Ovis aries: one gene and its partners. The protein of the gene in region 1 purifies or fractionates together with the protein of each later gene. This does not show direct contact. Links are inferred from orthologs where the notes say so. Each region holds a gene or a part of one and is shown in the gene's direction. Other genes may lie near its edges.

What was found.
Region 2: the proteins of PSMB9 (region 1) and PSME1 purify together in Homo sapiens (affinity purification with mass spectrometry; 3 studies listed by BioGRID and IntAct, counting the BioPlex papers as one, with this or other methods). This does not show direct contact. The link is inferred for Ovis aries from reciprocal best matches to the Homo sapiens genes PSMB9 and PSME1.
Region 3: the proteins of PSMB9 (region 1) and PSMG2 purify together in Homo sapiens (affinity purification with mass spectrometry; 3 studies listed by BioGRID and IntAct, counting the BioPlex papers as one, with this or other methods). This does not show direct contact. The link is inferred for Ovis aries from reciprocal best matches to the Homo sapiens genes PSMB9 and PSMG2.

Annotation. Positions count from the first base shown.
Region 1 is NC_056073.1:7,337,202-7,342,138, forward strand, and holds the start of PSMB9 (proteasome subunit beta type-9), read left to right. Parts: upstream 1-1,501; 5' UTR 1,502-1,546; coding exon 1,547-1,606; intron 1,607-3,476; coding exon 3,477-3,544; intron 3,545-4,937. Other genes in the region: TAP1 (antigen peptide transporter 1), read right to left, coding at 356-953. UniProt on the Homo sapiens protein: The proteasome is a multicatalytic proteinase complex which is characterized by its ability to cleave peptides with Arg, Phe, Tyr, Leu, and Glu adjacent to the leaving group at neutral or slightly basic pH.
Region 2 is NC_056060.1:20,828,270-20,833,544, reverse strand, and holds PSME1 (proteasome activator complex subunit 1), read left to right. Parts: upstream 1-1,863; 5' UTR 1,864-1,979; coding exon 1,980-2,018; intron 2,019-2,560; coding exon 2,561-2,593; intron 2,594-2,739; coding exon 2,740-2,802; intron 2,803-2,912; coding exon 2,913-3,023; intron 3,024-3,111; coding exon 3,112-3,157; intron 3,158-3,274; coding exon 3,275-3,372; intron 3,373-3,621; coding exon 3,622-3,690; intron 3,691-3,775; coding exon 3,776-3,843; intron 3,844-3,932; coding exon 3,933-3,987; intron 3,988-4,060; coding exon 4,061-4,147; intron 4,148-4,318; coding exon 4,319-4,399; 3' UTR 4,400-4,537; downstream 4,538-5,275. Other genes in the region: EMC9 (ER membrane protein complex subunit 9), read right to left, coding at 4,592-4,772, 4,921-5,015, 5,106-5,175. UniProt on the Homo sapiens protein: Implicated in immunoproteasome assembly and required for efficient antigen processing. The PA28 activator complex enhances the generation of class I binding peptides by altering the cleavage pattern of the proteasome.
Region 3 is NC_056076.1:43,567,071-43,571,578, forward strand, and holds part of PSMG2 (proteasome assembly chaperone 2), read left to right. Parts: intron 1-199; coding exon 200-371; intron 372-2,160; coding exon 2,161-2,219; intron 2,220-3,433; coding exon 3,434-3,552; intron 3,553-4,423; coding exon 4,424-4,508. UniProt on the Homo sapiens protein: Chaperone protein which promotes assembly of the 20S proteasome as part of a heterodimer with PSMG1.

The DNA of each region.
Region 1 (4,937 bases):
GCAGTGGAGAGATACCATCTCCACCTACACGAGGCCCAAAGACCTTTAGAGGTTTAATGAGGAAGCCTAGCGGTTGTAGGATGGGCTGCCCGGGAAAAGCCCTTGTCCACGGCGGCCAGTGAAGCAACAACACGCAGGGCAGCCCTGGAGTCCAGGACCCCTGACAATTGCCCAGTCAGGACCTTCCCACTCCACTGGGGTGATCAAGACCTGAGCTGGGTCCCCTTCCCCTCACCCACGTTTCCGAGAACCCACACCAATTGCTCTCATTGATCAGGCCCCTCGATTCCTACCCAGTTCTCCAGTCCCGTCCCCCTTCCCGTTGCACGCCCCCCGCCGCCCCCACCTTACCTACCAAGACAGGAGAGAAACACCAGGGCCAAAATGAACTGCACGTGGCTTTTCTCCGGACCCAGGAAGACTAAAAGCCGGCTCATCGCCAGGCCAAAAGCCCCGCGAGCTCCTTGCACGCAGAGGCTCCTGATCTTATACCACAGGGTGGCCGCGGGCAGTGCCGCGCAGTAGCTGAGAGCGAAGGCGTCCAGGCGACTTCCCCAGTGCAGGGGCCCGGCGCTGTCCGCGTCCTCGGGGGCTCGCCAGGAGACCAGCTCTCGGATCAAGGCGAGTCCCGGCAGGGCCAAGCCCAGCGCCGCCGCCAGCGGCTCCAAAACAGCCAGCCACCCGAGGACTCGCGTGCCTTCCCTCCGGAAGCCCAGCGCGGCCCCGACGACGCCGCGGGCCCCCAGCCACAGCAGCGCCCAGCGGCTCAAGCCCGCCACCCAGACCCGCAGCAGCGGCAGCGCAGGGGGCACCAGCCGCGAGGCCACTCGGGGCAGCGCCGGCCGGAGCAGCGTCCAGTCGGCGAGGAGCAGCAGCGCCGTCCCCAGCCACGCGACGGCGAGGCGGGGGAGGCGCGGACGGCCGCAGGGAGCTGGGGACCCCGGGCAGGCCATGGGCGCGCGCGGTCCCGGCTCTCGCTGTCCGCGACGGGCTGCTGTGGGAGCCCGAGCCCCGGGCCGGAACCCGGACCGCCGCGGGGAGGGGCCGGGGCGGGGCCTCGGAAAGTCCCGGGAGCCCGCCGAGCCCGCGGCGCTGCCCAGAAGCGGGCGGTTTAGGGGAAAGAGAAAACGAAAGCGGCCCGGCTTCCCAGGCCCGGCCCCTGCGGAGGCGGCCGGCCCAGGGCACCTGGGAGGAGCGCAGGGACCTCGGATCCGAGGCTGACCTCCTCCATCGCCACCCGAGCCCCGCCTCGCGTGCCACCGCCTCCTGCAGGAGCCGCGCTGCCCGGGACTTTCTGGCCCCGGGTCTGCAGGCGGGGCTCGTGCGTCATCCGTCTCCGGGCAGATCCGCTGGCCCCGGTCTCTTGCGTCATCTGTCTCCGGGTAGACCCGCCCCGCACAAGTTAGCGCCGGGCCGCCCCGCGCGGCGGCACGGACTCGTGCGCCCCCTGGCGGGCGCGGCGCGGGGGCGGGGCCTCGGGCAGCGGGCGGCGCGCGGTCCCAGGTCGGAAACCAGAGCCCGGAGCGGCGAGCCTCGCGGAGCCGGGATGCTGCGGACCGGAGCCCCCACCGGGGACTTGCCCCGGGCAGGAGAAGTCCACACCGGGGTAATGAGTCTGGAACATCGGTGGCGGGACGGAGGGACGGGCGGACCCTGGAAGCGCCACAGGGTTAACTCGGAGACTCGCAAGAGGGAGGAGACCGCTTGCAGCAGCCGGGGCGCGCATCCCAAAAGGAACACGGGCGTCTCTACAGAAGCGGGGTGCTCGGGGGGCCGCCGAGGGACTGGGCGCGGGGGGCCGGCGGGGAAGGGGTGCTTGGGCTCCGAGCTGGAAGCGTTGAGGGGAAGCTGCTTTAGAGCGCTTTCGCTTTCACTCTGGACTAGAGACAGGGGCTGCTTCAATGAAGGGGGAGAGCTGGGGAAGGTGCGCAGAGATGAGGACGCGGTGCCCCGAGTGAACAGGACGGCACTTGGGAGCGTGCGGGGAGGAACGTGCCCCCACAGACCTTTGATGGACTCGCGCCGGGGAACTTACGGCCCCGGCACTGCTCACGGGGGTTGCCTGTGAGCTGGCGCTGCCAGTGCCCAGCCTGGTCCAGGAAGGCAGCTACTCGGCCCACGTGCACCGCGCTCCCCTCCCCGTGTCTTCCTCACCCACCTCCACAACCTGCTGGAGGACTTTTGCCCAGGCTGGGCCCCCGGGGGGCTGGTGGCAGCCCTTGGCTGGCTGCCTTCTGCTCTCAAGCGACCGCCACCACTCTCAGCTTCCGGCAGCCTTGTTATAACGGATTAACCTCTCGGGTGGGGTTACCCCTAATCTCTGGTCCGCTCTTCACGATGAATCAGTGTGTCAAAATGAGCACTCCGGCCAGTATCCCCGGAGGCCAGAGCAACTTATGAAGCCCTGAGGAATATAGCAGTGAAGCCATTCATAAATTAGAAACTCTTCCCCTCACCACCAGACGAACAGTAAGAAGTACAAGTCAGAACAAACCCTGGGAGCTGGATGGGGGTTTTAGTCCTGTGTGACCCTGGGCAAGTCACTTGCCTTCTGTATGATGCAGTTTCTTTCTTTGCAGGATCTTTAAAGTTTAAAAAAAAAAAAAGTGGCTTTATTCTCCTTCACTTTTCCTTAATTCTTTTCTTGACCTGGAAAAGTCAGCTAAAACTCCCCAATCAAATCCTCTCTTGCTACAGATCTCTTTCCCTGGCTATTTACTCTTTTAAAGAAAAAAAAATTTATTTTTTAGCCACACCACATGGCATGTGGGATCTTGGTTCCTTGACCAGGGATCAAACCCATGCCCCCTACAAAGGAAGCACAGTCTTAACCACTGGACCACCAGGGAAGTCCCCTTGTTCTTTACCTCTTGATCAGAAATTCTTAAATGTCCCATGTGTTTCCTGATATTTTCCTCCTTCCTTGACACATGGCCATGGTAACCACTGACCTCTGAGATGTTTTCCCTTGTTCAGTAAACTGATTAAGGGGAGAGTGGGGTGGATGATTCTGGGCTAATAAAAAGGCTTGAGCTTGTTTCCCAAGGTCACGGTCACTTGCTGTGTGGCAAGATCTGCAGCACATCTGTGCACACACAAGCGCACGCAGAGGTCATGCATGTGTGGGGCTGCACCATCAGGGTCTGGAAGTGCCCCCCTGAGCCCTTCACTCAGAGGGAGCACTTAAGCCCTGGGACCTTCACCCCACCTCTCTCTTCACAGTGGAAAGAATTTTAGGGAGGCCATTCTTTCTATGTGATACCACTGGCCAGACTCTGATGTTCCCTTGCGGCCAGGAAAGACAATAGAGAAAACGGAAAGAAAAAAAAAAATCCCATCCTGGGAGTCAACTCTGGCCTAAATTACCAGATAACCTTGAGCCAGTCACCTCCCCCTCTCTGAGAATGTTTCCTTATCTAACATGAAGGGGCCAAGGCTCTTCCTGCTCTGACGTTCTGTCCTCTGTGTCTCCGCAGACAACCATCATGGCAGTAGAGTTTGATGGGGGCGTTGTGGTGGGATCGGACTCCCGGGTGTCTGCAGGGTGAGTACCAGTGACCCTGGGTACTTTTGGAAAGAAGCCCGTGGCGCCCAATGCACATTTTTAATCATTCATAGAGACTGGCAAACTGAAGCTCTGGAGAAACTGAGTGAACCTTTCAGAAAGGCCACTATAATAAGACATTGGGTGAGGGTTTGGGTCTCTGAACTCACGGAGAAGAATCTGGGGCTTGAATGCTAACGTGGCCTGTCCCAGAGGGGGTCATCGAAATGGGTCTGAAAAGAGTTTAGGAAACAGGGATTTCAGAGGTCTTCCTTCCACCTGTGTTTAGAGATAGAAAAGATGGTTCTGCCGAGCAGATACCTGCTTTCTGATCCACTGTGTGAACTAAGTGTGTCTTTCTCCCTTTTGGCCAGTTTCCCCCACATACAAGAAAAGTATACAGGATTAGACCAGTATTACTTACTTTATGTGCCAGAGAACACATAACTTCCTCAAGATGGTTAATAACAAAGAAAAATTAGTATGGGGAAGATTATTCTTAATTTCATGTAGTATTTTTGTTTTATTATAAAATCTAAGTCCGATTTTGATCATCACTTGCAGTGTTTCATTTGTCTGAGACAATTTTTTCCTTCCCGCTTTAATCCAGGCGTTAAATTTCATGTACTCTGAAGCCATTCTATTGTCAAAAGAACATCAGAAACTTTAGCAACTCGCTGTATGATCCTGCAGTCCCACTCCTGGGCGTATATCCAGGCAACACTGTAATTCAAAAAGATGCCTGCACCCTTGTGTTCATGGCAGTACATATGCTCTTTATCCATTCCTCTGCTGATGGACGTTTAGGTTGCTGCCGTGTTCTGGCTACTGTAAATAACGCTGCAATGAACACTGGGGTGCATATATCTTTTTGAATTATAGTTTTCTCCAGATCTATGCCCAGGAGTGGGATTTCCGGGTGATATGGTAGTTCTTTGTTTAGATTTGTTAGGAACCTCCATACCGTTCTCCACAGTGACTGTACCAATTTGCATTCCCATCAACAGTGTACCAGTGTTCCCTTTTCTCCATACCTTCACCAGCATTTATTGTTTGTAGATTTTTCTTTATAATGGCCATTCTGACCAGTGTGAGGTGATACTTCATTGTAGTTTTTATTTTTACAAACAAAAACAGAAACAGACTCACAGACATAGAAAACAGACCTGGGGTTGCAAGGGTGGGGGAAAGGAGGAGGACAGGGTCCTGGATGAGCAGGTGCAAACTGTTCTGTACAGAATGGATAGAGCGTGTCTCTAATAATCAGTGGCTGAGCATCTTTCCATGTGCTTTTTGGCCATCTGTATGTCTTCTTTGGAGAAATGTCTATTTCGATCTTGCACCCATTTTTGATTGAATTATTTGTTTTTTGATATTCAGCTGAATGAGCTGT
Region 2 (5,275 bases), on another chromosome or scaffold:
TATCTGGGCACCCTACTCAGCCTCCCTTTCTACCCTGTCTTTCCAAAGAGGGTCTATACATGCTTATTTTCTTAAAAGATGTTCATTGAGCCAAGCATAGTTCTTTGCCATGTGAATAAGAAAGACAAAGTTTTTGCTGTTTGGGGGCCCGTGGGTTACTACCTGATGATAAACTTACAAATAATAATACTATTGTGCTTACTCTGTATCAGGCACCATTCTACGTATCTATAAATTCTTTATATAAATTCACATATTTAGCCCTCACAACAACACCATGAGTTAGGAGTGTTCCCACTGTACATTTGTGAAAATGGAAGTGCAGAGCTAAGTAAGTTTTTCACAACTAGTAAATATTGGAGCTAGAATTATTAACCCAGGCAGTATGGATCTGTTGTTTGTGCTCTAAAACAGAGATCAGCAAGCAACAGTCCTGTGGCCACTGTTTATATGGCCTGAGAGCTAAGAAATGATTTTACATTTTTTAATGGTTGAAAAAAAAGAATATTTCATAACAGGTGAAAATTACATGAAACTGAAATGCCACTGTCCATATGGCGCCCCACTCCAGTGCTCTTGCCTGGAAAATCCCATGGATGGAGAAGCCTGGTAGGCTGCAGTCCATGGAGTCGCTAAGAGTCAGACACGACTGAATGACTTCACTTTCACTTCTCACTTTCATGCATTGGAGAAGGAAATGGCAACCCACTCCCGTGTTCTTGCCTGGAGAATCCCAGGGATGGGGGAGCCTGGTGGGCTGCCGTCTATGGGGTCGTACAGAGTCGGACACCACTGAAGCAACTTAGCAGCAGCAGTCCATAAATAAAATTTTAGGGTAACTAGCCACACTCATTTATTTAACTGTATAGCTGGTTTCCTGCTACAATGGCAGAGTTGAGTAGTTGCTGCAGGTACTACAAAGCCTAAAATATTTACTATATGGTCTTTGACAGAAAAAGTTTGCCAACTCCTGCTCTAAACCACACTATCCTCAAAAAAGAAACTAACTTCATAGAGATAGTGCTGTGAAGGTACTAAAACAGGCTGCTTTCTAATAGACTTGGAGGGAGTTATAAGCAGAGTTCTTTCTGAAGAAGTGATATCTAAGCTGAGAACAGAATGACATCCTGAGGCAGGGTAGGTTGTGTCAGGCAAAGGGATTAGCAAGAGCAAAGGCCTTGAGGCAGGAATGAACAACGCTGGCAGGTCTGAGAAACAACTGGAAAGTCCAGGTATTTATAACTGAAAAGAGGGAGAAAACAGTGGAAAGCAAAGTTGAAGGGGAACAGGTGCCAGATAGGCCTTTTGGACCAGGAAAGTCCTTTGGATTCTAAGGTCAACAGGAAGTTGAGAACGTTTTAAGCAAGAGCAAGGTGGAATCCTGCTGCTGCGTGGTGAGTGGGTTACAGAGGAATGGAGTCCACAAGGGTCTTAAGAGAGCTGACCAGGTCCTGTGATGGGATGATGCCAGAGTCTGAACGTCACTGCGTGGGCCAGACGATGCCCGTGGAGCTAGGGGTCCACGCTGGCAGGGCAAAGGAAGGGAAGCCAAGTCTTGCTTCACCACCCAGAAGAGAGGCAGATAAGGCTAATCACTGTCCCAGGCGGCGCTGGGAAGAGAGCCCGAGGTCTGGGGCAGGGGGCGGGAGGGGCGGGGAATCCTGAGGCGGGCCCCGGCCTCGTGGCCGGGGAGGCGGGGCGTCGATGGGAGGGTGGGGCAGGTGGGCGGGGAATCGAAAGACCGACAGTGATGGGGATGCGGGGTGGCGGAAAGGCGCCTCTCCGACTCTAGGGGGAGCCCCGGCTGGGCTACCTCCCGGCACTCAGCTCCTCGCCTCTCTCTGGTCTGTCCCCGCCTCCTCTAGTACCTCCACTCCCACTACCCAGGAAGGCCGTGCGGGGAGCGAGCGCTGCTTTCACTTTCCCTTCCCCGTGCCCACTCCTCGCTCCGCGTGCTTCGCCAGGCCCCTACCCCGGCCATGGCCACGCTCAGGGTCCTGCCCGAAGCCCAAGCCAAGGTGAGCGCTGCGGGTTCTAGGAAGGGCCCATCAGGGAGGGGTGCCTCCGAGACACTGAAGGAGTCCGTGACCCGCCCCTCAGCCCCTCGAGTAGGGGTCAGTCATCCGAACACTCATGGGCCCCGTGCCCAGAGCACCTGAGCCCGGAGAGCCCCGCCAGGTCTGCCTGCGGGAGGAGAGGCGAGGCGGCCGAGGTTCAGCGGGGTGAGGTGAAGCGGAGCCCTGGCGTGAAGGGGAAATCTGCTGGCCCGGCGCCCGAGCCCACACACAGACGGGGTTCGGGCTCTGCCCTGCCACCATGGGAGGCCCCGCGTCCATTCCACAGGGCACTCCGACCCTGCCCCAGTCGCAGCAGCTCTCTTACATCCCTCCTCCCACTGCCCACCGAGGGATCTGTTCCCTCTTGAACAGTTCGCCCTTCACTTCCAGGAATGTTATTCCCCAAATCCCACCGCACCCAAGTCAGACCCCATGCAACCCTAAGGGTTCTCGAATAAACTGGCCATAAAGCCAAATTCTGAAGGGCTGCTTGTGTCCCACAGGTGGATGTGTTCCGTGAAGACCTATGTACTAAGGTAAGACCTGCACGGTCATCACCCCACCCCTCCCCAAGCCCACTGCTCAGCCCTCCTTTGCTAGGCAGCGGCAGCCCTTCCTTCACTGCTTAGGAAGGGAATTTGATTCTGACCCCCATCCTCCCTTACCGTTACCCTACACACAGACAGAGAACCTGCTCGGGAGCTATTTTCCCAGGAAGATTTCTGAGTTGGATGCATTTTTAAAGGTACTGGGGCTGGGCAGGGAGTAGAGGCCAAAGGGAGAGCTTCAGGGGCTGTGAGAGTGAGGAGGTGAGAGCTCGCCCCTGCCTCCAGCCCTTCTCCCACCCTGCACCAGGAGCCAGCTCTCAATGAAGCCAACCTGAGCAATCTGAAGGCCCCATTGGACATCCCAGTGCCTGATCCAGTCAAGGAGAAAGAGAAGGAGGAGCGGAGGAAACAGCAGGAGGCAAGATGGGAATTCCTGGGAGGAGGGACCCAACCCGGGGAAAAATCAGCCTCAGGCCTGACTCCCAAGAGCCTCCCTTTCCCTGCAGAAGGAAGACAAGGATGAAAAGAAGAAAGGGGAAGATGAAGACAAAGGTATCACTATGGTGGAAGGGACTTGTGTCTCACTTCCCAGGAGCTCCTCCCTAAGGATGCCTTTTCCTTACCTGGCACAGTCCCAGTCATGTGACTGACCCAGTGCCCACCTCCTAGGTCCTCCATGTGGCCCAGTGAGCTGCAATGAGAAGATTGTGGTCCTCCTGCAGCGTGTAAAGCCTGAGATCAAGGATGTCATTGAGAAGCTCAACCTGGTGAGCCCCCCACTTCCGTCCACACACTTCAGGTCAAACCCTTTGTCTTCCTTTCTCCCTACCAGTTGGGCATGGCACCTGCCAGGTCTTAGCAGGAGAGGGCACAGCAAGTAAAGCCAGAATTCCAGGCCATGGCATTCAGGACAGACCTGACACACTCCCATTCACTGTGAGCAAGGAAACAAAGGACAGGAAGCTGGGAATTGGGTTTGAGACTGATGGGGCTTCTTTGCCATTCCCTCCTCCCAGGTCACCACCTGGCTACAGCTACAAATACCTCGGATTGAGGATGGGAATAATTTTGGAGTGGCTGTCCAGGTGAGAGCACTGCCCCACTCCTCTGCCAACTTTCTCTCTCCAGTCCTTGCTGCTTTCCACTTTCCCTTCTGCTTTCTTTCCCCAGGAGAAGGTGTTTGAGCTGATGACTGCCCTTCACACCAAGCTAGAAGGCTTCCACACTCAAATTTCCAAGTGAGTCATTGCCCATTGCTCTGCCTCTGGCAGAGACTGAGGCCTCTGCTCCCTCCTCCTCCTGCTCCATACCCTTCTACTTCCCACAGGTATTTCTCTGAGCGCGGTGATGCTGTAACTAAAGCAGCCAAGCAGCCCCATGTGGTAGGTGAGGTCTCAGTCTGGGTGCAAGGGAGGAGGGACACTTGAAGTCAGGCCTGATCCAAGTTTCCCGCAGGGTGATTATCGGCAACTGGTGCACGAGCTGGATGAGGCAGAGTACCGGGATATCCGGCTGATGGTCATGGAGATCCGCAATGCTTATGTGAGGAGGCGAGAGTTGGGGGCGGGCTGAGGCAGCTTTCCCAAGCCACCCACTCCCTGACCCTGCAGGCTGGGGTGAAGGGTTACAAAGTGCAACCTCTCCACAAGGCTAGAAATGGGGTACAGAGCCACTGGGAGCTGGTGGCTGACTCTCTCCTCCCTGGCCCCATAGGCTGTGTTATATGACATCATCCTGAAGAACTTCGAGAAGCTCAAGAAGCCCAGGGGAGAAACAAAGGGAATGATCTATTGAGACCCTCTTCTCATTCTGTGATGGCTCCAGCAGAGACCTTCTGACTTTTACAGGGGACTCCAGACTTTCCCCACCTTCTGCCTGTTGGTTTCTCCCTCACCTTTGCCTCCCAGGCACAATAAACATAGTCATACCATTGCCCAACAGCCCAAGTCTCTTTATTGGATCCTGAGCCTCCCCTCTGGCCCTGGCTCAGGTATTTCCATTTGTGGGACCAACCCACTGGGTGATCTGGGCGTTGAGCTGCTGGTTGGTCCAATCCTCTCGGATGTCATCAAGGTGGCAGTCAAAGTCCACAAGGTGCTGGTGGGCCCGGCCCTCTAGTAATGCTCCCACCATCTGCCGTGACTCTTCCCAGTCCCTCCACATCACTCTGAAATAATAACCTCCATGGCAGTCAAACTCAGCAGAGAGCGGGGCCAGGTTAGGTCTAGAGAAGGACCCTTGGGACAGAACCAACAACAGAGGAGGCTCAGGAGCTGTGGGCTTCCAAGAAGAGGTGGAAGGAGAGGGGCACTCACAAGTTCTTGTCCTTGGGGACCCAGCGGAGACCATGGTTCTCCAGGACGATAACTGGGGGCACGTGAGGCTGGGGTACCAGTTTCTGATTATCCAACTGTGTGGACAAGGAAGGGCTGGTGAGGGTTTCAAGGGTTCCCCCTTCCTCCTTTCTTTCCAACTCCCCATTCTGAAAACCAAGCCTCACCATAATAAGTACTGCATCAGGGAAGAATTCAGCAATCCGCCCAGCGATTTTCAAGGCCAGGGGCCCAGGGCTGTGTAGAGGGAAGATCAGAGGTGTGAGGAGCATACTGCGGGCAGACTGCATCCATCTGAGCTGGGCCTCCCAGGTCTCAAAGACGTGGATGCAGCGAT
Region 3 (4,508 bases), on another chromosome or scaffold:
TTGACACATAGCAGGTATTCAGTAAGTATGCAGTCAGTAGTCTCCAGGTGGAGCTAATGAAAAGCTCAGAACCCAGGTGTGATGCACCTGAGCATTGGCGTCCAGTACGTCCACTGTGACTGTCGTCTTCTGTCTAAACTTCTTAAAGTGCTGCTGATTTGGATAACTTAATGAACTTTTTTTTTTTTTACTGTTTCAGCCAGCAGTATCTGTTGGAAATGTTGGCCAGCTTGCAATAGATCTGATTATTTCCACACTGAATATGCATAAGATCGGTTACTTCTATACTGACTGTCTTGTGCCAATGGTTGGAAACAATCCATATGCAACTGCAGAAGAGAATTCAGCGGAGCTCAGTATAAATGCTGAAGGTGTGTTATATCCTTCCACAAGGCAGATTTGTGTCAAGTCACAGCCAGACTCTCCCTGGGTGTCCGTTGGTACCTGGAGTGGCTCTTTAGAATCCACAGCGGTGCCCTCCTCTCCTGCACACACCCTGGATTACAGCCCCCTCAAGAGATGTGCTTGTATTTGTACCCTTGGATAGAATGATTTTTAACATGGGGTTTCCCCCTCTTATCCTCAGTTTTACTTTCTGTCCTCCTGGCACGTGTAAGCATTGCTAACACTGGGCTCAGGCCTATGTGTTTAATGTGCAGCGCCCCATGCAGGCTGAAGTCATCTGTCACACAGTGGTAGCATTCATCGTAATGCACACTGACCCGGCTCAGAGAGGCAAGTCACTTGACTGCAGGAGGCCTAGGCCCTTCCCACGCCACCCATCTCCACAGTTCCCTGCTGTGCTGTCAGTTGGGGTTAGTCAGGGCTCGCAGCGTACAGACCAACCACTGTGTTCCTCTGGCCTCTGTATTTTCTGAAACTGGACTTAGTCTTAAAGCCTTGATTATTTAGAAGCTAAATATTTTTGACCAGAATACGTGACAGGTGATGTTATATCACATGAGCAAGGTGCTAGGAAACAGGATCTTACCAACAAAACAAGATGTGCATGAAGCTCTGGTGGAAAGCAGGAGTGCTGCTGCTGCTGCAGAAGTGAGGCGTCATGGACGTCATCTCAGCCTGCCCACTTCCCTGGTTCCTGAGCTTCCAGCTCTAGCCTACTTTGTCCCAAACACGCCTGGTGGTCAGCACCCTTGCTGATGGATGCTGCATGGTCCCAGTCACCCCACACACACCAGTGCAGTGAGATGATCCCAACAGACCTATAGAATGGGAAAGACATGACCCACCAGACACAGTGCCTGAGTCTCGGGTTGTCTGTGATGTTTACAGTGACTGAAAGCTTAACCCTGGCACAGAGGCCTAATCACATGTTCTCGGAGACTCTGTATTTTGTTCTCGGGTCATTTCAGGGCTTCTCATTCTTGGAGGTAAACTTGGGCAGGGCCTCCTAAGCATCAGTAAAGTGGGCCCCTTGTAGACTCTGGTGAATGCTGTGGATCCTCCTCACAGGATAAATTCACAAATATTGACTCACAGAGTTCTTACGTGTTACTTCAGGTCTTTCTGAATCTCCTGAAGAAAATAAATATAGCTTCTGTGTTTTATCACACAGCTAACATTCGCCTGCATTTTACTCTTCCTTCTAACCCCAATGAGTGTGACTATTCTTTAGAGAAAAGAGGGAACAATATCAGAAACCAAACCTTGAAAATGGGGTCATTTGTTATAAGGATAGAAATTTCCAGGGGAATCCTCTAGGTTTACAATCAAAGAAGAAAAATAATTTCTGATAATTTTCTCATAGTTAAATTTCAGCAATGAATCTATTCCATAGAATAAAGCCCATGGGTGAATTCTGAGGTACTTTTAAAATGTTTTAGCTAAATGATGTAGTGCATATGTTCTGTGTTTTAATTGGCAAAAATCTTTAGGGACTTCGCTGGTGGTCCAGTGGTAAAGAATCCGCCTTCCAATTCAGGGAACACAGATTTCAATCCCTGTTTGGGGAGCTTGAGATCCCACAAGCAGCGGGGCATTTAGACCTGTGTGTTGTAACTAAGACCGGATGCAGCCAAATAAATATATTTTAAAAATATTTAGATACAGAATTTTTCCTAGTTCAGTTTTGTTATTAATTGCTCATGTATGACTCCTTAATTTTAACTATCATATGGTTTCATTCTCTTATACTTGCAGTATATGCATTGCCTTCAAAGAAACTAGTGGCTCTTCAGTTAAGATCCATTTTTATTAAGGTTAGTATATTGCTTTTGTCTTAAGTTTATTAAAGTATAGTATAATGAGAAAATACTGAGTCATTATTAAGATTCAAAAATCATTTCTTTCTTTATACAGTTAAGCAGTCTGAGTTTATAGAGAAATACTCATAAGATTTCAGAGTTGTCACTATTATTTCCTGAATATATTGAAAGGAATTGGGACATATAGCTTGGGTCCTATATATTCCCGATTCAGGTACCATGGGTGAAAAAATTTAAGCATATGAATATTACAGGTTTATTCTATTTGCATTACATTTCAAACCTGTGGCACCTGCATTAAAATGACGTGTGTCTGAAAATACACTCTTGAATCCAGCTTCTCTCCCCTTCTGCTGTCACCACTTTGGTCCAGCCCATGTCCTCTCTCATGTCCCTGATTCTGCTTCTGCACCACCCGCCCCACAGGCTCTTCCACCCCAGGTCCTGGAAACCTCAGTCAGATCCTCTCGTAGCTTCCTGTCTCCAAGCAAGTTCATAGCCCTCACCACTGTCTGGCAGGAATGTGTCCACACTGACCTGGCAGCCACTAGACACCTGGAGCTATTTAAATTTTGTTTCATCCATTGAAAGTAGAGTGAAAGGTCCACATCCCAGGTCAATCACCTGTTCACCTCTTGCCACACCTGGTTGATCCTCTGTGTGCGCGTGCAGTTTCCTTCTGCCAAATAGTCCAAAGCAGGTGTGTGCCAGCATCACGTAACACACGTCTACAGGAAGGAGAGCCTCTTTCACAACTACAGTACACCACACACCTGGGAGATGAGCATCAGCAAATACTCAGACTTCCCCAGCTGCTCCCCACACACCCATCAGTTCTGCATCCAGGCGAAGTTCGAGTATTGCCTCAGCTGTCACACCTTTTTAGCTGGTATTCAGCATGGAGCTGACTTCCTCCTGTGATTCACAACACTGACTGTGCTGAGGGACCTAGACAGGCATTCTGCCTTCTGGCTTACCTAACTGTTGCCCCTGATCAGATTTGGGGCAGAAATTTATCGTCATTGTCCCTCATCTTTCACCTTCAGTGCAAGGACAATAAGTGGATCTCAAACTAACTATAAGTTTAGCATATGTAAACTGTTAATAGTATCATCACAAAGACTGATGAAATACTACGTAGACTACTCTTCTAACAATCTGAGATCTAACTTTGTATTTTCATTGTACTCTTTCCATGGTATACAAAGTATAAATCAAAGTCATTCTGTGAAAAACTGCTTTCCTGGGTGAAAAGCAGCGGCTGCGCCAAAGTGGTGGTTCTTTCTAGCAGCCACTCGTATCACCGTAATGACCTCCAGCTGCGCAGGTAGGTCTGTGTCTCTGAACAAGTATATTTGTTAAGATGTGTACAGTTATTAGAATGATTGCTTTACTAAAAGGTTAAAACAAAATTTTAACGCCATCCTTTCCTTTTCTCCCTGGAATTTAGAAAGAAGGAGGTGAAGATTGTGGGGAGATAGGGGAAGTGGCGTTGGGGGCCCTTAGTGTTCCCAGGGCTGCAGCACTGGGGTCTAGGGTAGCAATGGGGTGCTTCTGGGGCTGCACTCTGCTTTGTGTGTCTCTGGGACTATGCTCTGCTGTGTGTGTCATGAGCCCACGGCACCTCAGGGCTAAGCTGATGGAGAGAAAGGAGAAAGAGTACCTGAAGTTTATCAATTGATTGTCTTTCAAAGACTGGATCACTGTTTCTATTTATTTCCATGTATTCAACCATTTGTATCTGCAGAACTCCAGCTGCCTTTAAGTACAATTTCCAGGCATGTCAGATTGAATTCTTAAATAGAAGATAAAGTATTCAAGAGTTAGAAATCCATACTATTTATTGCATTGTCATTTGCACACCTGTAAAATCATGAAATATCTGCGAAGAGTAGCCTCTCAAAACTAGTTAATTTCTGAGGCCCTTGTAAGAGGCCTCGTTGGGGCGTGGCTGTGGGGTCTTCATGCTGGCCTTGCCTTTGGTTGTTTTCCTGTCCCCAGCACAGTCTCCTAAGTATGTGAGTAGCAAGTCAGAGCAATCACTTTACGTTACTCTTCCATAAACTGTCAGAACTTGCATTTTGCCTTCTGCAACAAAATATATGGAAAACAAGATAATTTTTGTTGAAAGAACTCTTATTTGTCTTAATATTCATATTTGTGAGTGTTTAGTTAATGATATGATTGTTTCTTTCCAGTACCCCCTTCAGGTACATTCTTACCCCTTCCATGCAAAAAAGTGTTCAGAATAAAATACAGAGCCTCAACTGGGAAGAAATGGAA